Linked DNA regions of Cricetulus griseus. The protein of the gene in region 5 interacts with the protein of the main gene of each other region in a biochemical or structural test. Links are inferred from orthologs where the notes say so. Each region holds a gene or a part of one and is shown on either strand. Other genes may lie near its edges.

Region 1 (4,336 bases), on a different chromosome or scaffold from region 5:
AGATTTGCAGGCCAGCATGGACTACAAAGTCAGAGCCCAGCTCAAAACAAACAAACTAGGCTTGTACCCCTACCATCTGAGCAAAAGTGGATGTTCTCAGGGCAAAGACCACTGAAATCAGAAAAAAAGAAAAAACAACTAAGTAAAAGTCAGGACAGCTGTAAAGATCCAGGGACAGCACCTTTTCTAGGGACATCCAGCACTGCACCATTGCGCAGTCACTGCCACCAGGGGGCAGGCTCACTTAGCAAGGAAGACACTGGGAGACAGAGGTGGGGACTCAGGATAGCTGAGTTCTGTCCAGGTGTCTCCAGTAGGCTGACGGTGATCCTTCAGACAGGAGATGGGATCCATGGGGACTCCTGGCTCCCCCACACCCCATAAGTTACCACCTGGGCTCAGGCAGGGATCTTAGAAGACTTGGAGAAATGCTCAGAAAAAACAAAAAAGTCTCCTTTGTAGGGAAGAACAGGGAACAGGAGTGGGGATGACACAGGCAAAACAAAGTCCCTTGGCCTAAGATTCACTTTTTTAAGAACAAATTCTGTGCTAAGGGAAGAAACTTGGACCAGACTCACAGAGCCAGGTGTCCACACTGGGTCAGCTGGATGCGGGTCTGGGAAAGAATGCTGGGATATATGATCCACAGACCCCTGTGGACAGTGCTCCTCCAGTGTTATGTCTCCTAGGGCAAATGTGACAATGTCTGAAGACATTTCTGGGTGGTAAAACTCAGGAAGGGTGCTCGTGGCAACACCCTTTGATACACAAGACAGTCCCATGACAGGACTATACAACCCCACATGTCAGTAGGGCAGACTCAGAGAAGTCCTGCTCTAGAGAGGACCTGGGGGTCACAGGCCACAGTCCCTAACCTCAGCTGAAGAGACACAGTGACAATGACAGCACTCTGTCCCTCTCCCTCCAATGCTCTGCCTCTCTCACCAACCTGGGAGCTGTTAGGAGCTTGTCTGCCAAAGAAGGGAAGAGAGCGGCCTGCCACGGTTCCAAAACCCTGGCTTTGCAGGACAGTCCAGTCTCAGTCACCTCCAGGCCATGAAGGTTTAGGGGAACATTCAGGCAAGGAGCAGCCCCAGTCTCATTAAGTTTTAAAAAACAGCTTTTTCCGGAGGAAGTTAAAACAGCCAGGAATCTGTTTATAAATCCCTTTCTCAGAAACTGCATGGGCGACCTGCAAAACAGAATCACAGGGGCAATCTGTGAGTTCAGTGTCCTTGTCTGAGGCCTTAACTGAGGGGGCGGGCCACTGAAGGGGCCATCTGAAGGTGACCCTACCTACAGTCTCCTGGGGTGGGTTATAGAACAAACACCTCAGCTACTGGGAAAGAATGGAAAATCCAACTTCTCTAATATAAAAATTCACAATTCCAATCAGACAGAAACGCTAGGGGTAAGGAAGTGGGGAAGAGGAGACCCAGAGACAACATGAGCTGCTCAGCTGTCCTCTGTCCTGTAGGGCCCCACGCAGGACCGGAAGTGACTCCTAGAGCCCAGGGGTTGCACTGGGCAGAGCAGTGGAAACCCACCGGGCCCTAATTGTTGTGGAGCAATCTTTTCAGGGGGCAGAGATGTGCTGCCTTTGTTTACCTGAACTGTGCATCGGTGTTACTTTTGTTTATGTTGCACTGGTTAATGATGTAAGGATGTGTGTTTACTCATGAAAGATGAGTTTCACATTTGTTTCACCTTGCCTGCCTACAGCACCTGATTGGTCTAATAAAAAGCTGAACAGCCAATAGCTAGGAAGGAGAGGGATAGGCAGGCCTGGTGGGCAGAGAATAAATAGGGGGAGGAGCAAAAACTGGAGGAAAGAGGGAGAAAGATGAGGTCTCACTGGAGGCAAGAAGCCAGGCATCTGCCAGCCACACAGGAGGGCAGTGAAAGTATACAGAAGGAAAGGAAAGGACAACCCCAAAGACAAGAAGTAAATAAAGAGAAGCAGGTCAATTTAAGGGAAAAGATCTAGACAAAAACCAGCCTAAGTGTAGCCAAGCATTCATAACTAATAAGAAGTCTCGGGGGCTGGAGAGATGGCTCAGTGGTTAAGAGCAATGGCTGCTCTTCCAGAGGACCCGGGTTCTATTCCAAGCTCCCACATGGCAGCTCACACCTGTCTGTAACTCCAGTTCTAGGGGACCTGGTATCCTTACACCAATGCATATTAAATAAAGTTTCAAAAAAAATTTTTTTAATTTAAAAAATTTCTTTAAAAAAAAAAAAAGAAGTCTCCATGATTTGACAGCTGGTTGATGGCCAAAAGAAAAAGCCTGGTATACACCTTATGGGTACAACCAAGTGCCCTGAGGTGGCTGGCTGCTATGAAGCAAGGCACTGCCACGCCCCTTCCCTGTTCATTCTCATTGGGGCCTCCAGGAAGGGAACAATCTAGACAGAATCACAATGCTTGAAGATAAAGAGTCATAGCATGGGGCTGGGGATGTAGCTCAGTTGGGAGATTACTTATCTAGCATACGTGACACCCTGGGTTTCACCCCCAGCACTGCATAAATTGGGTGTGGTGGTTAACACCTGTAATCCCAGCACTCAGGAAGTAGAGGCAGGAGGACCAAAAGTTCAAGTTCATTGCTCTTTGCATGGCAAGTTCTAGGCCAGCCTGGGCTACCTGGAACAATCTAAAAAGAGAGCACGTGGGGATGTGCCACAGAGCTAAGCGAGAAGCATATGGCCAGGCTTCAGGGTACCATGCTCTTGCCACTGAGCCACCCCACCTGGCACTTAAGACCACTTTGTCTTCTGGGAACCAGATGCCTGTCTGCTCATCTGTCTCTAAAGAGTCGGGAAAAGATGGCACTTTGCAAACAGGACAAACGTCATCGCCATGGTGACATTCCTCATTTGAGAGACAACGTGCTCCCTGACTCTCAGCCAGGGCCCATCAGCATTTACAGCAGACTAGAGCCTGCTGCCCTGCTCACCAGGCCCCTCCAGCCCTCAGAAAGAAGTACTCACCCTGAGAAGGAGGGACTGCAGGTCTTCAGAGTGAGCCCACTGCTCCAGGACACCATCCAAGGTCTCTATGTACCAGGAGCCGCTCTTCTTGTCTCTCCAGGAGACAAAACCTGCAGGAAGACAGGATGAACTCTGCCACACAGTGGAGTGGCACTCTCCTTGGCAGAAGAAGCTGGGTACAGCCAGATCCAGACTGTGGTTTGTGGACAGGTGGCAAAGGCGGCCCCATCCCTGTGGCTCCCTGCTACTTTTCACCCTCAACACCACTGACTGCCTGGGGCTCCCATCTTCTCAGTATGGAAATCGAGGTTCTGAGAAGTCAGGGGTCTCAAGCAGATTGAAGGATGCACCTTATCCCTGCCCTGCCACCAGGTGCCCATCACAGTGCTGAGGGAAGTGCCAGCCGCTCCCTTGTCGAATCTGCAGGTTAACCCCAACGGGAATTATTATTCTTAATCTACATGCCAGTCTGAAGCATTGCCTGCTTCACCCTGAGAAGGGGCTTAGGAGAGGTGAAGTGACTTGCCAAGGACCCCACAGGCTGTGTCCAGCAGAAACAAGACCTCAGGACATAGCTGCCTCCAGGGCTAAGGGCGAGTGCACAGATGGGCTCACCTGGGAAGGTGGAATAGGATACAAGGATGTCGCTGGGGGTGGGCAAACTTGACACGGCATCCAGCTGGTCAAAGGGCCTTGGGCCTTCCTGGTATGGGACAGCATCTGGCTCAGAGTCACTGTCTAAGTCCCTGCCTCGAGAGGAAGTGCAGGCCACCTCAAAGCCATGGTCTTTCTGCTCTGTAGGGGGCAAAAACAGACACCCAATGTCACAACGGCGGAGAAACACTATAGCACAAGGTACTTCTCCTGAAAAGGGAAAGGCCTGGACCTGAAGGCTTCACCTGTGAGCTCTGCCAACATTGGAAGGACTGAAGCTCTATATGGTAAAGCACACCTGTGCTGTTCTCACTATGCAGACCTGACTGTCTGGGAACTTACTATGTAGACCAGGCTGGCCTTGGACTCACAGAAATCCACCTGCCTCTGTATTCCCAGTGCTAGGTTTAGAGGCATAAACCACCATGCCCAACAGAGTATTTATTTTTAATTGTGTGTGGGGGTGAGGTATGTGCACATGAGTGCAATTGCCCACAGTGGCCAGAAGAGGGTGCCGGATCCCTTGTAGCTGCTGATGTAGGAAGCTGCCCAACGTGGTTGCTGGGAGGCCATCTGGGTCTGTGTAACAGGGTGCATCCTTATCCACTGATTTATCAAACTGCCTTATAGACAGGTGCTTCTGTCCCAAATAAACACACAGAGGCTTATATTAATTATAAACTGTTTGCCA
Region 2 (4,991 bases), on a different chromosome or scaffold from region 5:
TAGTTTGGAATCTTTGATCTCTTAATATAGACACACAGGGAAACTGAGGCCTGGGAAGGAAACACTGCCCTGCCATCTCTGGCATGCTAGGTACCTGAACACTGTTTCACACAGGGCTAGCAGAGCCCATCTGTCTGTGAACTCAGTTATCCAGCCCTGCGGCTGCTGTGGTCCGAGAGAGTAGGTGTATGTGCGTATCTGTTTGGGGAGCTGCAGGGCACAGGTTCTGAGCTTCAGAGGCTCTAGGTGTGTGTGTGTGTGTGTGTGTGTGTGTGTGTCTGTCTGTCTGTCTGTCTGTCTGTCTGTCTGTCTGTGACGTTGAGATACACACATCAAGCTTGTATTACCAATGAAAGCCAGGCATGCTCTACCAATCACGTCAGGGCAGTGTCCTTGATGTCCACAGCAATCATTTATGCTCTTAACACCATGGAAACCGTGGAAGGGCTGTGGCATCCTGTGCTGCCCTATAGCTTCCTGCAGCTGCACAGGGTTGAGCATGCAGCCCCTCCTAGCCTGTATACTCTAAGCACAGTAGAGCTGCATGCTGGTCACAGAGAAGTGGGCTTTCACAGTGTGAAGAGTTCCTGCCACTTCAGCCCTCCTGTGTGTCCCACCCACTCTCAGTTTTTATGTCATCAGGAGGAAGGGGTGCACCCAGATTCAGCTCATGACAGGGTTCAGGACTACAGAGGGTCTGTATCAGGGTAGTCCATTATGGATCCTCCATCTAGGTAGTGAACTCTGCAAACATCTGTCACCATGTACACTGAGAACCTGCATCCAGGATGGGCTAGGCACACAGACAAGTAAAGGAAATTATGTGCCTGTCCCTGACTAAAAGCACAGTGACCTGTTTGATGGTGGATGCAGGGGACACAGAAGACTCCCATAACCATCCCAGAGCCATGCAGTGGTACAATGGTTGCAATAAATCCAGTTTGAGAATGACTTGTATCTAGGCCTGGCCCGCTGGGCCTGCCACTGTTAGCTGTGGTCCTAGGTCTGAGGTCTAACCTCTCTGGGCCCCAGTTTCCCCTCAGATTCCAAATGATGAGAATTCTAATCTTCCCAAGGCTCCATTTCTCCCTGTAACAGTCTAGGTGATGAGGGTTCTCCCTCCAGGGGCTATGCCACAAACAGAAAGAACACCACCTGAGCTTCCGGGGACCATAAAGGGTCTTGTGATAGCCAGAGTAAGTATGGGAACAGATGTGGAAGGTGGATACTGACTTCCCTGGTCTGTTAGTCTGCAGGGACAGGGAACCCCAGATGTGGGCCTGGCTAGGACAATAAAGAGGTGGGAAGGCATGGGAGGCTGAACCCCTCCCTCTTGTGTCCTGCTTGCTCCTGGTGTTGGCACCTTGGGCAAGGGCAATTCCGAGCTCTAGGTCTGATGTGACCAGTGGCCCTGGGCCTCAGATCGCTGCTATCCTCTGGGAAGGCTGAGCTATTAAAGCTGTGCGATCTGGGGAGGGCACTTCTGGGACAGGCCGAGGCGCCCCATCCCATTCACCTTGGGGTGGATTACAATAGTGGCGATGTCAGACTTCTTATCAATGTCCTGGATGGTTGCCTCATAGGCATCTCCATTCTGTAGTTGCACCTTCAGCTGCTGCCGGCCTGAGGCGGTGTTGGAGCTGGTGACCACGTGGGCGTTGGTGATAATCAAACCAGCCTCTGACATGATGAAGCCGGAACCACTGGACAATGGCACATTCCGGCCAAACAGAGGATGTCTGCAAAGAAAGCACAGGGGACACTCAGGGCCAGGCCTGGGCCTGGGGGAGTCAGCATAGTGGAGGGAGTAGAGCCCTATGTGTTGAAGGAACAGGCGTGGGGGACCACTCCCTCCACCACCTGGGTTTGAACTGAGGCTGTCACTTGTGGGTATAGCCTTGGCAACACTGCAGCTGGACCTAGTTCATGGCCATAAAGATATGACCATCATCTCTGATCTGCAGTTTGCTGTAGTGAGACACAGTACTTGTTGACATGTTAGCATGCACTATCCCACAGTGGCGCCAATGCCTGACAGCAGGGCCCTGGAGACAAACAGCCAGGACACTAACTGCTAGTCCCACCTGTGACCTAGCTGCCCTCAGGCAGGCTCTGTAAGCTCTCTGAGCTTGTCTTTCATCTGAGAAATGGGCCATCTGCTTAAGGATGGGAGGGGGCAGAAGGCTGGAGCAGCTTAGGATCCTCCTCAGGGTAACACAAAATGTACACAGGCCCTGAGGACACTAAGCAGATGAGCCCAAGTGTCTATCTAGCACTCTTGAGCATGTGACAGTCTTTTCAAAATGTCACCTCAGCCTGGCAAGACCATGGAAAGCAACAAACATCCTAAGTGCTCGCTGGAGCCAGGGACAAGTTCATTCAAAGTTCACAGGAGACTTGTGGGTCAGTGTCCTCCAAACAAATGTGATCAAGTCCTGACTACAGCTCCATGGGTGTGACCTTATTTGGAAGTGGGTCTCTGTGAGTGTGGCAGGACTGTGACATTTTGATGGAGTACGGGCCCTATGTCCAAGCATCAGTACCTTGAGAAGACAGGAACCCAGAAGAGGACAAGGGGGACATGGGAGATGGGTGGGGAGGATGTACTCCAACCCAAGGGTGCCTGGAAGTACTAAAAGTTAAGAGCTGGCCCAGGATCCAGGTGCGATGTCCTGCAGATAATTTCATCATGGCCCTCAACCTCCAGAATGGGGTTTAATCCTCCAGTCTGTGGGACTCTGTAACTTAGCCCTAGATAACCACTGCTATACAAAACTCTCAGGGGAGAGTGAGGCCCAGAGATGTGGTATCCTCCTCCCCTCCCATACTTGCTGGGGTCAGGCAAGAGGCAGAGCACAGCAAGATTCCCACCATGCCAGGCTGCTTAGCTTCCTGCAGTGTCTGTTTCCTTACCAGTCACGTCTCTCTGAGAAGCCCTGGAGGGCAGCTACATCCAGCCACTCAAGGCTGCAGACAGGGCCCAAGAGAGCCCTGCACCCATACCCTCAGGTCAAGGGTCGTGACTGGAAGGCTCTGTGCTGTCTGCCCGACTTGGACCTTACCCACCCATGAGGCTTTGGCTTCACGAGTCAGACATCACTGCTGCTCAGCTGCCTTAACCTGTGATTAACCAGCTCAGGGTTAGTGCCCCAGGCCCTCTGGAAATACACAGTCCCTCCTTAGCCCCCTTTGGTTGAGACAGCCTCCTAGGGCATCCATTTGTAATTTCCTCAATGATGTGTCTCAGATTTTACCCCAGGGCCAAAGGCAAGGGCAGGGAAAAATCACACATGGCAGGAGGATGCTTCTGTTCCAGGGTCAGACAGGCTGGAGTCAAACCCCGCTCCAGGTGGAATGGTGTGTGTGTGTGTGTGTGTGTGTGTGTGTGGAAAGGCCTTGAGAAGCATAGGTCTATAAGTTGTTAATCACAGGAGGGACATGGCAAGCAGAAGGGTCCCACAGTCCCATTGGGGCTGAGTCCACATCTGCCTCTCTTGTCGAAGAGCAGGAGCCCCAGGGTAGCTTAAGGAAACAGACTCAAAATGGACTAGGTCCAGAGCTCAGGCTAGACCCTGGATGAGTCCGCCTCATCCTCCTCCCCTGCCATATCTCACCACCACCATGCACACCTTGCCACTGCGAGGCTCTTGCCACTGTTAGTGGGCAGGAGGTTGAGTAGCCTGACACTTCGCTGGCCATGGAGCATAGAGGGAGGGGATGGTGATTGACATCAGTAACCAGGCGGCTCCAGACCAGAGTCAGACTAATAAGCCGGTCACCAGCTTCCCTGATCCCTATCAGGTGGGCTCCTGTCTGGCTCCCCCATCCCAGCTGGCTCTCTCCACTCAGCTGCAGGGCGAGAAGGGTGGAGATTGTTGTGTCTAGAATCTTGAGGCTCCTGACACAACCGGCCTCTCTCTAGGGGGTCTAAATTGAGACCTCAGGACCGGATGTGAGTGATGGGACCTTGGCTGGTGTGTCTGGAAGGCAGGGCCTCCTCACCCAGCACAAACATCTCTGGGATAGAATACTGGGTGTGGGAGGAAGGAGGAGGCTCTTTCCCTGTCTGTAAAGAGGGATCCTGCCAGGATGCTAGACCATACATTATACAGTGGGCTTCCTCTCCCATGGACAAACCTGCTTCCCTATCAACCCACCTCCACTCAATCAGTCCTCCCTCTCCTCCACATCTAGTCATGAGTCCTCCCTCATGCCTGATTCAGACACTTTGTCCTGTTGAGCTGGCACCTCAGTGGGACTGTCCCCTATTCCTCTATATCTCCTTGACTCCTATGTTCTCATTTTAGGCTAACCTTCAGCCTCCAGATTTCCATAGTTGCTACTCATCCCACACCACCTGTGCTATGCCTCTGGCTGCTGGAATCAGGTCTAGTCTGAGTGACAGCCGGAGCAGGACAGATGGGAATGGCTGGGAAGCTGCAGAGCAACTTGGGACCCCACGTACCTCAGGAAGAGCTCTATATGGACCACAGCTGGCGCGATCTTCTCCACCACATCAGCGATGAAGTTGAACTTGTACCGAGGGCTGGTCAACTGGTGGAGACCTGCGCTGGCGGCAAGGACCAAGGGTGTCAATGAGACCTCCTGGCTCCCAGAAGCCCCTAAGCCCAAGGTGGAAGAGGCCCTGCTGGAGACCCCTGCCTGGACTCAAAGACAGTGTCAACATGCTCTGCACCCCATTCCCCAGAAGTACACGGACACCCAGACATTTGAGATAGTGGTCCCTGCCCTGGAGAATGGTTAACTAGAACTTCTGGGAGTTGAGCCTCTGCACATTTTCCCCTCTGGGCTCTTCAGGGTTGAGCAGGAGTTGTAGAGAGGTTTGGATCTTTGCTCCAGGAAGCACAGGACTGATGCTGGGGACCAGAATCCCTGGATCCTTGTTTGCTCCCATGTAACAGAAATATGTTGGAGAGTGGACCATCTGCCTTTCCCTGCCTGAGGACCAGTGCACTGATAGATAAGGGCAG
Region 3 (4,419 bases), on a different chromosome or scaffold from region 5:
TTTAAAAAGGCCATCTAACCCATAAGTTGCCTTCTGCAGCCTGGGCCAGAAATAAGCACCCAAATGTGACACTGATCTATCCTCTTCCTGGAGACAACATGAAGCCACAGCATAGCCTAGACAGGGAAGACAAGGAAGGGAAGGCTGCAGCCAGGCCACCAGCAGAGGAAAGGGTGCAGTCCTACAGGCAATCTCAGGACCGGGTAATCTTGTCTGGGGGCATGAATCCTGTGTCCCCAAGGGTCCTGAGTGCAACACGACCGTTGGGTCGGATTACCAGGTAGGTGATACTCCCATTGTTGAGGGACAGGCGGAGCCAACCTTCCGGAGGAAACTGCAGTGCTCTGGGGAGAGAAAGATGATGCTAGCAGAAATCTCAGATTAGTACAGAGCTAGCTGCTCTTGGGTCAAGCAAGGTTGACAGCCTTTTGGAGTAGGCACATTCAACTGAGGTGATAACTGTCTTCAGGGAAAGGATTCTCAGGGGAAAGGTCTCAATAGCACACTAAATAAGGATCTGACAAGTGGGAACAAAGCCCCAACCCAGCTAATTCAGAAATGTGCTCAGGGCTAATGATATCAAGGCTGTTTAGCACTGTAACAAGCACCATCCACATTTGTGCTACAAGTATTTGACAGAAACTGGCTGGTCTCCCAGAATAAAAGTATAACACATGACCCCATACAGGATTTCCTTTTGTAAGGACACAGGTAATGGGACTAGAGAGATGGACCAAGAGTATTTGCAGAGAACCATAGTTAAATTCCCAGCACCTATGTTGGGCAGCTCACAACTTCTAATACCCCCAGCTCCAGGGAATCCTATTTTTCTGGCCTCTAAGGGTACCTACATGCAGGCACACACACATACAGGAGTATCTACTGAACAGTTTGGTCTCTGCCATTTTCTAGTAATCGAATGTGCTCTACCCTCAAGAACTGGCCTGAGTTAAATCCAATGTAGCCTACCAACACATGTGACATTTCCTGCTACAATTTTAAATTACAAATACTGTAAAAGCCCTGTGATATGTCCCAGCTAATACTGAAAAGGGACATAGTATCCCTTTTATTTAAAGAAAGGGGTTTTATGTAGCTCAGGCTGGGCTTCTGTGTTGCTGGAGACAAGACAAACCCAGGTCTTTATACATGTTAGACAAGCACTCTGCAATGAAGCTACATCTCTATCCCAGTCTGCTAGAACACTGTATGCTTTGTGGTGTTCTGCTGCTTAAAAAGAGCTTCTAGATCCTCAAAGGGCTATATAGATTTTCACATAAACAGGTTTCATTTATTTTGAGACAGTCTCACTGTGCAACCCCTGGCTCACCTGGAACTTACTATATAGAACTGGCCTAGAACTCACAAAAATCCACCTGCCTCTGCCTTCCAACTGCTGGGATTAAGGTAAGTGCCACCACATCCAAGTCATAAATGGGTTACTTTATATATACTTTATATATGTAATCCTGGCTAGCCTGAACTCACAAAGATCTGCCTACCTCTGCTTCTTAAGTGCTGGGATTAAAGGTGTGTGCCACCACACCTGACATATGAAGTATATTTTTAAACAAAGTGGACCATGAGATGGCCCAACTTGGGCAAAGGCCCTTGCTGTGCAAGTCTGGCAACTTGAGTTCAGTCCCTGGAATCCACATAAAGGTAGAAGGAAGGAGAGAAGTGACTCCACAAAATTGTCCTTGACCTCCACACAAGCTCTTTTTTACCCTTCCTGTTGAGGATCAAACCCAGGCTCCTATACATGCCAGACAAGCTATTTACCACTAAGCCACACCTCAGCCCAGACGACTACAGTCTTAGTGTTATCCATCACAACTCAGGATAATGATCATTCCTGAAAGAAAGAAGGACTCTGCCTTTATTCACAGTGTAAGTACTCCCAAGTGCCTAGTTTCTTCTTTCTGCATTTTCAACATCAATGTCAGTCATTAGGGGCTGTTACAGAATATAAGATAATGAGGTACAAAATAAATAGGCCATTCCTGGCTTGTTCACATGTTGAGAGGAATGCATAGGATATACCCTAGGCAACAAGGGTATAACAAGTAGTTGGGACCACAATCACCCTAGAAGCACCTGTCCACCGTACTACCCACCTTCCTCCTACCAGTTCTCAGTCTGATACGGAGCTCCAGGGCCCAGTAGGGATTCCCAGCTTTCCAACATTTTGTATTTTCTTGGGACTCAGGCTCGCCTAACTGACCACCAGGTCCCATAGCTATCCCTGGGCTGCTGGTCAGGTGTGATGGGAACATACATCATGGCACAGGGGACAATCTAAAAATAGGGAGCAGGCTACTACCTTGGCACCCATAAAGAAGTGGCTAAAAAAGGCATATAGGAAAATAGCATGAGCCTGGAATATTCTGCTGAGCAGCAAACCAATAATCACAGGTCATGATGTACAACAGGTGATTGTATGCATGTCCAATCACATGTACAGGACTAGCAGACAAGTATCCTGACCCACAAGGTGCTCATACTGCTCACAAACATGGAGAAAGACAGTACTTATAGAAGTTCTGATACCAACAGGATGAAGGAAATAAAATACCAGACCAAGTCCAGTGCTAACTGCTACTGCATCTACCAACAGGCAGTTGGAACAAGTGTGTGGAAAACAGGACTCTGAATGGTCCCTAGACATTCATCATTCTCATAAGGTAGTGGAAGCTGGAACACAGCTCCTAGTCTGAGGAAACCCAAGGCCAGGAAGGAGGTTTTGGGTTTTTTTTGGTTTTTTTTGTTTTGTTTTGTTTTGTTTTGTTTTTTTGGTTTTTGAGACAGGGTTTCTCTGTGTAATAGCCCTGGCTGTCCTGGAACTAGTCCTGTAGACCAGGCTGGCCTCTGCCTCCCTAGTGCTGGGACTAAAGGTGTGCCCTACTATGCCTGGCCCAACACAGGAGTCCTTAATGGCACTTACCTGCAGACAATATAGCGGATAACATTGGCGTGGCATATGAAGATCTCATAGCTGTCTTCCTCCTGCTTGGCATCAGCTCGGTGGATGTAGTTCCTGAAGGCAGCCTCAATCCGGGCTCCATCTTCATAATACTGCTAGGAGCAGAGCAAGGAGTTGTCAGTGTGGACACAGACAAGGCTAAAGGCAGGCCTTGCCCTATTCCAGTGGCACAAGGAATGACATTTTTACCACAGCCTCTGGCTTCCAGTGAGAGACAGGTGGATCTGGTTCAATAGGGGCACCTTCCCGTAGCAGGTCTGTGCTGACTCTGCAGACACCTGGAAAAGGGGAGACCCCTATTCAGCAATGTATCCCCAAGACTAAATCTATACCCTCAGCATGGCAGACAACCAGTACTCACCTGGCAGGTGTTTACTAATAATGTCTGTGGTCTCTACAGCACGGGTCATGGAGGAATGGACAATTTTATTAAACTTTAATCCCAGGCTTGCTAGTCGGAGCCCTGTAAGTTCAGCCTGTTCCCGACCTTGAAGGAAAAATAACTGTGAAAGTCATATACCAGGACCCTCCACTTACTGAACAAACAGTGAAATGCCATCAAGCACCACTGATGATGATGTCCTCAAAGGCTTAGCCAGGGTCAGATCCTCAGGGAGCAAAGAAACAATCAGTTGTCCTCAACCCCAAGGAGAAACGCACCTGATTCAATTAGCAACAGTGCGTTAACTTACCAGCAGTGGAATGTGAACCCTTTGCTATTCCTCCTACTTTTACTCAACTATGTTCAAAATCAAGTTCCAGTTGGGAACATAATATAGGAGGCTGAGGCAGGAAGATTGCCATGAGTTCAAGGCCTGTCTCAAAACAAACTACAAACTGACTCTTAGTATTAAATATAGATGCTTTTTGTCAAATGTACTTTAGCATATGGCTGGAAACACTCCAAGAAATCACTTTTGTCTTGTTCTGAAAATCATTTTCTATACTGAATATGGGAACCTCCATCACCACATTGATGACCTGATTTTCTGCTTATGCCCAGGTGTCAAAAGCAACAAAGTAACTCCTCAGGTTGGTGGCATAATCTGCTAGAGAACACACCTGGAGACATATTACCATCCAACTTTTGAATATGTGTACAAATGGGAAATACATCATCCAAACAAGAAATTATTTAAAATGTAAATGCACACTACCATGTATTCATGTTCCCGCCTACTTGGGAAGAAAAACAGGGGGTCAGGGATCTAGACTAGCCTAAACTACATTGTTGAGACTGTCTCTCTCACCACCATGCTGAAATGGGGAAAGAAAGGGAGAAGGACTACATCCCAAGTTCAGCTGATACTTCAAGATCATTCAAGCAATCATACCTAATGGGGTCAGGGTGCGGTCCTTTTCCAGGGAGCCATCCACATGGTACTGGGAATGCCGGATGAGGAATATGTGTCTTGTAGCCTTTGCCTTATAGTGGT
Region 4 (4,991 bases), on a different chromosome or scaffold from region 5:
CTGTTGGCGCCCACCCAGGGTAAACACGTCGCGCTGATCTTGCTACGTGCCATTGGATGCTGAGTGGGTCTGTTTAGGGAATGCCATAGGCTCTGACCTCAGGTGACCTTAAAGTGAAAGGGTCAAAGACAGGGTGGAACTGTGTCTGGAAAGGTGACATACACTAGCTTGTCTCAGCACAGTTGCTGGAACCCTTCATTCAATTTTCAGGGACTTGAATACTGGTAAATAGCTGATGCTCAGCTGATACAGCGGCCAAGCGGGCTGTTTCCAGAGAGCTGGTCAGGCTCCTATCATTGGGTTCTCACAAGATACCAGTGAGACTGGTGGACTGTCTTATTCCCACTTCTCAGATGAGGAGTTCATGCTTGTAAGCTCAGGCAGAATTTCAGTTTGGCAGCCTGACCTCAGCCTGTGCCGCAGATGACTGGTGCTCAGAATCCCTATCTAGGACTTTGATCTCTAAGCCCATCTTAAGCTTAGGTTGTCTCCCTTTGTCCTCTGTCCAGCTGCATGGATAGCTTCAAGATGTGAGACCCAGAAATGATCTATCACTTCTTCTCATTTCCCTTGCTGTGAGTGTCTTGTTTCGTTGACTCCCCAATTGCCTGTGGAGTGTGGATTACAGTAGGGGCTTGGTACCTAGTTTAGCACCAAGCTCAGCCCCTAGGGGCCAGGACTGTATTTGCCCTCTGTATTTGCATTATCCAGTTTGCTAAGCAGCAATGCAGCAATGACTGTCTTTGTGCTTGCAGGGAAAGCTGCCAGTCCTGCTGCTTGGTCGTTCCTCAGAGCTGCGGCCGGGAGAGTTTGTGGTAGCCATCGGAAGCCCTTTTTCTCTTCAAAATACGGTCACCACCGGGATTGTCAGCACTACTCAACGAGGTGGCAAAGAGCTGGGGCTCCGAAACTCTGATATGGACTATATTCAGACAGATGCCATCATCAATGTGAGTCCTTCACTCCCTCTACCTGCTGGGGTGGCGGCAAGTTTTTACCAGAGGAAGCTAGCTAGTATTCCCAAACTTTCTTGTATTCTGCATGAATTCTTGGAACTAGAATAAACCACATGGAGTATAGTCCTACCCGGTTGTGTATGGGTGGTGGTGGTGATGGTGGTGTCCCACTTGGGGTTAAAACAGAGTTGAACTATGTGGTCCTGAAGCAAGTGGGTAGCCAGTCTCATTGAGGAAGTCAAAGCAGATTAGGTGCTCACAGTGGGCCTGGAGGTAAATGATCCCACTATGGCATATCCCAGGCTTTTTGAAAATGGTAAAGATCCTTCTTCTAAGCCGAAATTAGGTGAGCAGAGACAAATCTTGGGAAGAGCGCTGCCAGCTGCTTCAGCACAGTGCTTTGAAATGTTTTGGGCAGGGACATTGGTTAGATGGTGACGTGAAACAGATCTGACCTTTTCCTCTTGGTTTTGTTTCAGTATGGAAACTCTGGAGGCCCCTTAGTAAACCTGGTAAGGCCTTTCAGTACCTATGCTGTGTTTGTTTCATCTGTGGGCATGCTACTTCCTTTGCTTTCTCTTTGGACATGAGCTTGTCAGAGCACATGACATAATTAACTTTCTACTGTGTGAGTGTACTGCATCTTCGCACCTCACCCCAGCAGCCCTTTCAGGAAGCAGTAAGGCCAGAGGACACACTTGTGTTTCAGGCCACAGGTGGATGCCATGAAGTTCTAGGCAGAAAGGGGACTGAAGGTCCCTGCAGTGCTGCCATCTGTGGAAAAGGTGCCTGCAGCCTCGAGGACGGCTGAGTGGGGATGAGCTGGCCTGGCTTGCCTCCATGCCAGAACCCTCCCTGAATGCCTGTGGGCATGACGGGGAGACATCTGTTTGCTCACAGAGCTCTCACTTAACCTAGTCTTTAATACCTCAGCATAAAATTGAAGGCGACAGAATGCCAGAGCTTGGGAGTTGTTTAAGAGAGTATAAAATCAAGGCCACCCAACGATACCTCCTGCTGGGTCCCTTGGTGTCAGGAACTGATATGTGCAAAGTACACTAGGAGCACTGTGTGCTGAACGTTCCTAGGGTCTTTTTTTTTTTTTTTTTTTTTTTTTTTCCACCAGAAACTTCTCAGGGAAGAGCCATATCCTTACTTGTCCCCACCATACTTACCCTGGGGCAGCTGTTGGGAGTAGATCCTGGGGTCCAGGCTCAACTCGGTATCTACCATTGGAAAAGGAGAGCAACTCAGAGATTATGGAAGCATTCTTCCTGTGAAAAGAGCAAGTGTTGTGGATTTTGAGATCATCTGTTCATGCAACGACACAAAGATTAAGCTCCTACTTAGATCTTGTGTCTATCCTTCCAAATCCAACTGTGTCTGGTACTACACAGTACCCTACTGTCTCTCCCCTCACTATCCCCAGGCCTCCTCCTTCTAACCCTCCTGATTTTCACACATAGCCAAAATACTCTCCCTGCTATGTGTCTATATATATGAGCATTTGCATGTATGGCCACAAGTGTGGGTGGATGGGGACGTGTTGCCTGTGCACATGTGTGTTTGTGCCTGAAGCTCAGGGTTGATGAAGGATCTTTCTCATTCACTTTTCCTTTTACTCAGTGAGGTGGGGTCTCTCAGTTGAACCCACAGCTAGGTACTACAGCCAGTCACACTAGTCAGCTTTCCCTTGGGATTCCGCCTCTGCCTCTGAGGCTGGAATTACTGGCAAGCCACCACACACACCCAGCATATACATGGGTTCTGGGGAATCCCAACTCCCAGTCCTCTCATTTGCATGGTAAGCACTTTAACCACCTTGTCATCTTCTCAGCCCACGCTTCTTTTTTTTTTTCCTTTTTATTAATTGTTTTAATTGTACGCATCTGTGGGGTAGAGTATGCGATGACCAGTGAAGATAGCATCCTCCTCTCACTCTTGGTTTTGGAAACTAGGTCCCAAACCAGAGCCCAGGCGGGCCAGGATCTCACAGAGATCCTATCTCAGCTGCTCTTGAGTGCTGGGATTACGGGTGTGAGGCGCCATAGCTGGCAACGCCTTTGAAAGACTTTCTGTCATGGATTCTCTGCTCCCTTCCAGCCTGTGCCTGCCTCCTGGGTTGTTTAGTGAGCCATGCTTGCTTTTCAGGATGGCGAGGTGATTGGAATTAACACACTGAAGGTGACAGCAGGCATCTCCTTTGCAATTCCATCGGACAAGATAAAGAAATTCCTGACAGAGTCCCATGACCGACAGGCCAAAGGTAACCAGGTCCAGGTATCCTGGGGACCTTTGCAGGTTCAGTCCTGAGGCCTAGCTGGCCCCTGGGGACTTGGGAAAGGGGAAGATGACAGTCCCTAAGGCCAGTCCTCTCAAGGGTCCAGAGCCAATACATTTTACCAGGGTGGTAGTGGTGGGAGACTGAACAAAGGGGGTCTCAGTCCAGATACCCATAGGGGTTAGGAAGAAAGAGTCATGCCTGAGTTTTTGATAGTTTCTGAAGTGAGAGATGGGAACCCAGGCCAGGACTGAATCACAGTCTTTGGGTGCCCCCCTCTGGCTCATGCTACAAACTGGAACATTGGAACTCTGGCTCCCGTGTCCCAATACTCCCACCATCTGGGCTGACCTTTTGTCCCTTTGTTGTCACACCAGGGAAAGCTGTCACCAAGAAGAAGTATATTGGTATCCGAATGATGTCGCTCACATCTAGGTGGGTAAACAGGACACATAATTATATAAATATGAATGTCTACTCTGTATTTATATAAACCTGGCCATTGCAAGGCTTCAAGGGCATTCTTGAAGGGAAACTATTTCCTTCAGATACTTCAGTTTCTGCTTAAAAGTAAGTCTCACTGGGGAAGGGGAGGGACTGTTGGGCTTGGGCCTCTTGTTTTTGCATTCTGACCACCTGGAAAACTCTGCCCTCCTCCCCGAAGGCAGGCCTGAACAGCAGATGGCTGGCGCACTCCTGCACACTCTCGTGCCTGCCTCTCACCACTTGTTCTGTTGAAAATCACATTCCAGGAGTGCCCCAGCGCCCGCCCCAGCCTGGAGCACCCGCCTCCCCTGCACGCTGCAGCGTGGGGTGTGGCTGCAGGAATGCCCGGGCAGGCCCTGCCTCGGGTTACTGATGACGGATGGACTTGTTTTCCTGAGTGTGAAAGTTGCTGCCTGGGGTTGCCAAGCTCATGGCATGCTAGAGGAGGTTGGGGGAATCTGCATGAAATAAAGGAAACCAAATTGACCAGCATGTCTGAGTCACTGTAGAGCCAATGTATATTGATAGTACTGTTTTACCCAGTTGTCAAAATATTAGGACACTCCATATAGGTTATGAACAATGGTAGTTTTCCTAGTGTTGCCAAGGATAGGGCAGCTTGCTGAGACTGAAAATCATCACACTGGTTGTCTTGGGTAACAGAAGAGATGGAAGCGTGGGTGAAGGAAGCTAGGGTCATCTTTCTGGGTTGTTTCCCCAAGCTCCTGTGCTTCTCAGCTTACTCTCTTTCAGGATGAGGTTAACAGTGTGGGTGTGCCTACTGTATCGTCAGGTATAGCTCAGCATTGGTAATGACAAGCAGCTGTAGCAACAGCTGTTTTGTGCTGATGGTTAAACTAGTTTCCTGCTATTAAATAGCAACTGTTGATGCTAGTAGGCAGGCCATTTTAAAGGAGAATTGGGGGCTGGGGATATGGCTCAGTGGGTAAAGTGCTTGCTATGGTAGTATGAGGACCTACGATCAAATCCCCAGGACCTGTGTAAAGCTGGGTAGGGAAGTATGTGTCTCTAGTTCTGGTGCTATTTATACCAATATTGGAGGTAAACAGGAGACTGTCCATCACAGGCCAGCTAGCCCGGTGTATGCAGCAGCAAAGAAGAGACACCGTCCCAAACAAAGTGTAAGGCAATGACTGAGGTTGTCCTTGGACCTCCGCATGTGTGCTGTGCTGTGCCAAAGCCTGTGTATGTATGTGTCATGATCAAGTAAAGTCTTGAAGTTGAGAATAAGAAGGGAATTTGGTGAG
Region 5 (5,667 bases):
AACCTAGACAGGCCTTGAAACTTCCTATCTTATCAGACTCCTAAGTAGCTGAGATTAAAGGCCTTAGCGTCACTGTTTCTGGGGAGCCACAAAGCAAACTGCTACAAAATTCCTTATAAAGCTTTCATTTCAAGGCTAAAATAATGCTCCTATTTTCCACCCTATCAATATCAATTTTCAAGCAAGAGTTACTAAATTAGCCAATTTTGGTGGTATATGCCTGTAATCCCAGCACTTGGGAGGCTGAATAGGAAGGCTACATGAAAACCAGGCTAGCCTGGACTACATAGACAGAACCTGTCCCCCAAAAGAAAGGAAAACTAGCCAAAAAAGTCATTAGACAGGTATGGGGGTAAATATCTGAAATATATGCACTTAGGGGGTTAAGCCAAGAATATCAGAAGTTTAGAACCACCATTGGCTACATAGTGAATTCTTGCTAGAGCCAGCTCCAAGAGTCCCTGTCTCAAAGAAGAAACAAACAAAAAGGCAGGCATGATACCACACCTCTATAATACTCAAGACGCAGAAGCTGGAATATTGCCACAAGTTTTAGGTCCAGCCTGGTCTACATAGGAAGTTATGGCCAGTTTAGGCTACATATAACAAGACTATAATAAACACAAGAAAATCCAAAACTGCTAACAGGCAAAAAAAAAAAAAGCTATTAAATTAGTATTTTCACACTGATCTTTTTTTTGGGGGGGGAGGGAATTGAGATAGGGTTTCTCTGTGTAGCCCTGACGATCCATAGACCAGGCTGGCCTCAAACTCAGAGATCCACCTTCTTCTGCCTCCTGAGTGCTGGGATTAAAGGCATTTGCCACCACCGCCCGGCCATTTAAAACAATCTTATTTTACATACCAATCCCAGTTCCCTCTCATTGCCCCAACCATCTCCCCATCCCTCGCCCAATCCACTCCTCCAGAGGGCGAGGCCTCACTTGAGGCAGGACCAAGGCCCTCCCCTTCTGTATCTAGGCTGACAAAGGTTCTTTCCATAGGAAATGGGTTCTTTTTTAAACCAATACGGAACACTTGGGTTGCTTAAGGAAGAGTCTTTTCAAATGGTTCTTCTAAAATTTTAAGTTGTATTATTTTATATATTAGAAACTCATACAACTTATATAGCTGAGTACTTTATTTTACAGAGACAAGAGAGTTTCACGATGGAGGCCAGCCTGGAAGACATTGTGAACTCCAGGCCAACCGAGTTAATGTGAGAAACTGTTTCAAACTAAAAGCAAACAAAACACAAATAATAATATACATTATGCCAGCTCTTCAGGACTTCCCATGGTACCATGGGCTCAGGTCACTCGCCAAAGAGTCTACTTCTGAATAAAAAGGATATATTTTTGTATAGTATACTAAATAAAAAGTACACATTTTTGTAATTTGGTGTTTATAAATGGAACCCTCATATAATATATGAACAGTGAATGTTTTGGTTACCAGAAGTCTTAGGTGGGTTTTTTTTTTTTTGGCCTACGAAGTAGGTGACCCCATTTCTATAAACTTGGTGTGAATTACAAGCCATAGTGAAGGCAAAAATAGTTGAGGTGAAAAGTAATTCAAATCTTTCTCCTGCACAATGTCCAACTTGCCTATTCCTGAATGAACAATTAAGAATCTTACCCTGGGTACCACTTCGCATGCTGTTCCCAAGGGTCTTCACTTGGCTTCCAATCTGTGAGCCCTCCTCCACAGTGAAAGCACTTCACCTTATCACCTTCACCTAAGGAAACATGCACGTAAAACTATGTGTATCTGTGCATCAAAAAATGCCCATTCTAACATTTAAGAGGTGTCTAAGTTACATACAATCTCATGGCTTAAAGGAAAACATTCATATTCCATCTAGATACGATCTTTATCATTTGACAGGAAATACACACTAAATTTACCATCCCGATATGGGGTGCTTTGTAGAAGACAACAAAAGTAAAATCAAAGATTTTATGTTAAAAACTACAATTGTTACATTCTTTCTAGTGCATGTCATTTGGGTCATTACTATCACACTTACTTCATCAAACTGAAATCTGTACAAGTTATATTCCAAATGTTAACTATAATAAAATTCAGCAGATACTACAAAGTAAGTGTCTTTAAGGATAGAGCTCTCTGACATGAAAAAGACCTTCAAGATTACTATGTTATATAAATGAAAAAAATTTGAAATAATTTGTATTTTGAATTTAGCACTATTCAATCTTAAAATAAGTGGACCAGGCATGCAGATATAAAATATTCCTAGAAGCAACCATATTACTGGCTTTTAAGTCACATACTGTGACTGTTTCAAAAATACTCTGATGCAATAAGGCATAATACAGGGCAGCTTTCAAATATGTAGCGTATGTTAAAGATGTTACTTTTTCTTTGGTTCTTTTCGAGGGTATCATGACGTAGCCCAAACTGCCCTCAAACTCATTCCTACCTCAGCCTATGGACTGCTGCAATTACAGGTATGTGGCACCATGCTTAGCTTGATGTCAGTTTACCATGAACCAACCTAAATTCTCTGTTAACTCTGTTTATAGGGTTGTGGTGAAGCTTACAGACAATCCATGTAATAAGTATGCTGAGCATACAGAGTAGATGCTCGTTAAATGGCAGCTATTATTACTATTAGACCCATTATTTATCAGGAATCAATACCATCTTTTTTCTTCTCTCAACTCAACCCTCAAACAACTGTATGAATACAGATCTGACTCATAATAGCATGGCCTTTTAAGCATAAATTCAGTAATGACAATGAAGATTTAACATATGAGTTCAGAGAATGATACTAATGATAAGCAATCCTGAAAACTTATGCCTAAATATTTATTAGTTCAGAAGACTAAAGGCAATGATTTTCTTTTTAGGAGCCCTATGACAGATGGAAAGTAATTTACTGGTTAAGTTTACCTAAAGCATAAAATCCAGCTCTTGCAAGCTGCTCCTTGTTAACTGAGTATATCCATGTTCCAAAAGTAATGATCCGTGCTTCATATTCTGCCATGGCTGGATTTCTTGGAGAATTTGCCGAATTGGGGAAATTCCTATCAGAACTCACACCAGATTCACTCCGAACATTAACATTCCGGCCCAAAACAAAGAAGCAATTGGGAAAGTGTCTCCTGTGTTCTGACCAGGCACGATCACAGGGTTCCCAATTTTTCAGTTTCCCACCACAGCAAAAGCACTGCACTTGATCATCAATCCCTGTGTAGTACAGTCCAGCACTGGCCAACTCTCTGGGGGTTAAGTGGGCATAGTCTGGCCAGTTCTGAAAGGACTTCAGCCTGGCTTCTTCACTACACATGGCAGGGTTCCTCGGGTATATGGTATCTGAAATATCTACAACCTGTCCAGTTCTCAAAAGATAATCTGCATGAGTCTCAGATGGCCTGTCAAGAGCAAAATGATTTCTGTTTCCCACATAGTTTTCAGCTTTGTACTGGCCATTTTGGATACCAGGATTTGTAGCCTGTGTGGCACTGTTTTCAAAATAAAAACCATTGATAAATCTGCAATTTGGGGATATTTGCCTGTGTCTTCCAACAGCTGAGTCTCCGTACTGCCATCTATCCACTGCCGCGTGACAACTAAAGCACTGCACAGTATCTCCTTCACCAGTATAAAGAAACCCTGCTCGTGCCAAGGTTGATGCTGAAACAGGACTACTACTTGGAAAGTTAGCAAATGTTTTTAATCTATTAAACTCTTCTACAAATTCTTCATCCTTATTGGTGTCTGCAGGTACACAAGTTCTAGATCCTTCAAAACTGTTAAAAGTCATCTTCTCTTGAAAATAGGACTTGTCCACCTTTTCTAAAAAGAGAACATTGCATTAGGAAATCCAAAACACATAACAAAAGTAACATATTTCTGATACTAAGCACTAACAAATTATCCACTGATAACATAAAAACAGTGGTACAATCACTAAGACACATTTAATTCTAAACACTAGAGCCTTACATTACTACTTGAGTTTTAAAATCTGGTGCTTTTGTTTTTTTTCTCTTTCAGTGTTAAGGCTTCACACAATGCCAGACACATGCTCCAACACAGAACTATAAACCAGCCTGTTTCTCTTATTTATTGTAGTCCTGGATATCCACCTCAGGGTCTTTGGCATTTTCGGCAAGTGCCGAAAATGAGCCTCAATCTCAGTCCCACTTTCTCTTTTGATGGAAAACAATATGTAAACAAACAGCAGAATTACGAATCTTAAGTACTCATTTTATAGAAATATGGAAAGTATGACACAGAAAAATTATAAATATTAAACACATGAAGCCTTTAATTAGGAAAAACATGAATGCAGCATAAAACATGCAGATTATTAAAGACTATGCATAATAGTTATAATGAATCATTTCATATTCAAGGCATCAAAGTTCAATTTTTACTACTTAAAAATGAATGTTTAGAATGCTCATGGATTAATTTTAAATATATTTTTACTTTCTTGCTTAGCAAAAAAAAAAAGTGGTCTGGTGGAGGCCATGCCCAAGGGTATATAGGAAGCACAAATTAAACTTGCTGCATTTAAACAAAAGGACAAAGTCAGGTGGTAGATCTGGGAGGAGTTGGGGAGGTAGGTGACTGTGATCAAAATGCCATGCATAAAATTCTCAAAGAACTAATAAAAATATTAAACAAAATATTATAATGACTTAAACATTCTAAAAGTCACAGATATTAATTGAAGTTACTTTTGCCATCAACTTCTGTTGGTCAAGAAATAGCCTGTTTAAATGGAAGAGAATTTAACACTCATTACAGTTGCCAAATTACAACGATGTCATGTTTAGGCCAAATAACATACCAAGAGGAATCAGCTGCATTATGGGAAGAGTGGCAAGACAGTTTGTCCTCCAACATGGTAAAGTGCTAAATGATGCTACTAATAATTGCATAAGGATAACAGGCATGAATCATGGTCACCATAGGCAAAGCAGATAGAAGAACATGTGGTCACCCTAGCTACAAGACAAGCTGGTTCTCCAGAATCTTCCACATTGCCATTCTGTCCTCAGTATGTTTGTGAAATGCAAAATAAACAAATGGCTAAAACTCAAATAACAGCAAAAATGAAAGATTCTGATGTAGCAATGAATACATATCCAGATATTTCTCAAAGGGGGATGTATAATCGGCCAACTACCACATTAAACACCAGAATACAAATAAAAGCCACAATGAAGTATCACCTCACACCTATCAGGATAGCTATTATTTGAAAGACAAAAACCAACAAATGCTGCTGAGGATATGAAAAAAGGACCTACAAACAGGAATGTAAACTAGCACTGCCATTATGGAACACAAAATGGAAGCTCTTCTTGGTTTTGTGTAGATGTGTGTGCTTGGTATGCATGCATGTGCATGGATATCTTTCTCTATCATTCTCTACTTTGTTGTGGCAGAATCTTTCAGCTGAACTACGAGCTGGCTGATCCAGCCAGCTTCTGCCTCCACAATACACTGGGCCATCTTTCCAGCCCCTAAATTGAGCCTCTTCAAAAACTAGACAAGAGCTGAGTTTGGAGAGGTGGTTCAGCAGTTAAGAGCACTTACTGCTCTTCCAGAGGTCCCGAGTTCGGTTCCCAGCATCGATATCCACATCAGACTGCTTACATCACCTGTAACTTCAGCTTCTGGGGA

The links. The genes of interacting proteins can lie anywhere in the genome.
Region 1: the proteins of Xiap (region 5) and caspase-9-like form a complex in vitro, tested with the Homo sapiens proteins (12 studies listed by BioGRID and IntAct, with this or other methods). The link is inferred for Cricetulus griseus from reciprocal best matches to the Homo sapiens genes XIAP and CASP9.
Region 2: of the proteins of Xiap (region 5) and Htra3, one has a biochemical effect on the other in vitro, tested with the Homo sapiens proteins (3 studies listed by BioGRID and IntAct, with this or other methods). The link is inferred for Cricetulus griseus from reciprocal best matches to the Homo sapiens genes XIAP and HTRA3.
Region 3: the proteins of Xiap (region 5) and Pgam5 form a complex in vitro, tested with the Homo sapiens proteins (2 studies listed by BioGRID, with this or other methods). The link is inferred for Cricetulus griseus from reciprocal best matches to the Homo sapiens genes XIAP and PGAM5.
Region 4: the proteins of Xiap (region 5) and Htra1 form a complex in vitro, tested with the Homo sapiens proteins (2 studies listed by BioGRID and IntAct, with this or other methods). The link is inferred for Cricetulus griseus from reciprocal best matches to the Homo sapiens genes XIAP and HTRA1.

The regions. Positions count from the first base shown.
Region 1 is NC_048595.1:11,415,756-11,420,091, forward strand, and holds part of caspase-9-like, read right to left. Parts: intron 3,787-4,336; coding exon 3,607-3,786; intron 3,102-3,606; coding exon 2,992-3,101; intron 1,193-2,991; coding exon 1,103-1,192; 3' UTR 1-1,102. UniProt on the Homo sapiens protein: Involved in the activation cascade of caspases responsible for apoptosis execution. Binding of caspase-9 to Apaf-1 leads to activation of the protease which then cleaves and activates effector caspases caspase-3 (CASP3) or caspase-7 (CASP7).
Region 2 is NW_023276807.1:104,691,002-104,695,992, forward strand, and holds part of Htra3 (serine protease HTRA3), read right to left. Parts: intron 4,566-4,991; coding exon 4,466-4,565; intron 1,740-4,465; coding exon 1,517-1,739; intron 1-1,516. UniProt on the Homo sapiens protein: Serine protease that cleaves beta-casein/CSN2 as well as several extracellular matrix (ECM) proteoglycans such as decorin/DCN, biglycan/BGN and fibronectin/FN1.
Region 3 is NC_048597.1:90,058,903-90,063,321, forward strand, and holds part of Pgam5 (serine/threonine-protein phosphatase PGAM5, mitochondrial), read right to left. Parts: coding exon 4,318-4,419; intron 3,471-4,317; coding exon 3,345-3,470; intron 3,262-3,344; coding exon 3,173-3,261; intron 3,079-3,172; coding exon 2,945-3,078; intron 345-2,944; coding exon 194-344; 3' UTR 1-193. UniProt on the Homo sapiens protein: Mitochondrial serine/threonine phosphatase that dephosphorylates various substrates and thus plays a role in different biological processes including cellular senescence or mitophagy. Modulates cellular senescence by regulating mitochondrial dynamics.
Region 4 is NC_048596.1:69,844,814-69,849,804, reverse strand, and holds part of Htra1 (serine protease HTRA1), read left to right. Parts: intron 1-755; coding exon 756-950; intron 951-1,435; coding exon 1,436-1,468; intron 1,469-3,107; coding exon 3,108-3,222; intron 3,223-3,614; coding exon 3,615-3,672; intron 3,673-4,991. UniProt on the Homo sapiens protein: Serine protease with a variety of targets, including extracellular matrix proteins such as fibronectin. HTRA1-generated fibronectin fragments further induce synovial cells to up-regulate MMP1 and MMP3 production.
Region 5 is NC_048604.1:25,909,617-25,915,283, forward strand, and holds the start of Xiap (baculoviral IAP repeat-containing protein 4), read right to left. Parts: upstream 3,822-5,667; 5' UTR 3,794-3,821; coding exon 2,920-3,793; intron 1,739-2,919; coding exon 1,639-1,738; intron 1-1,638.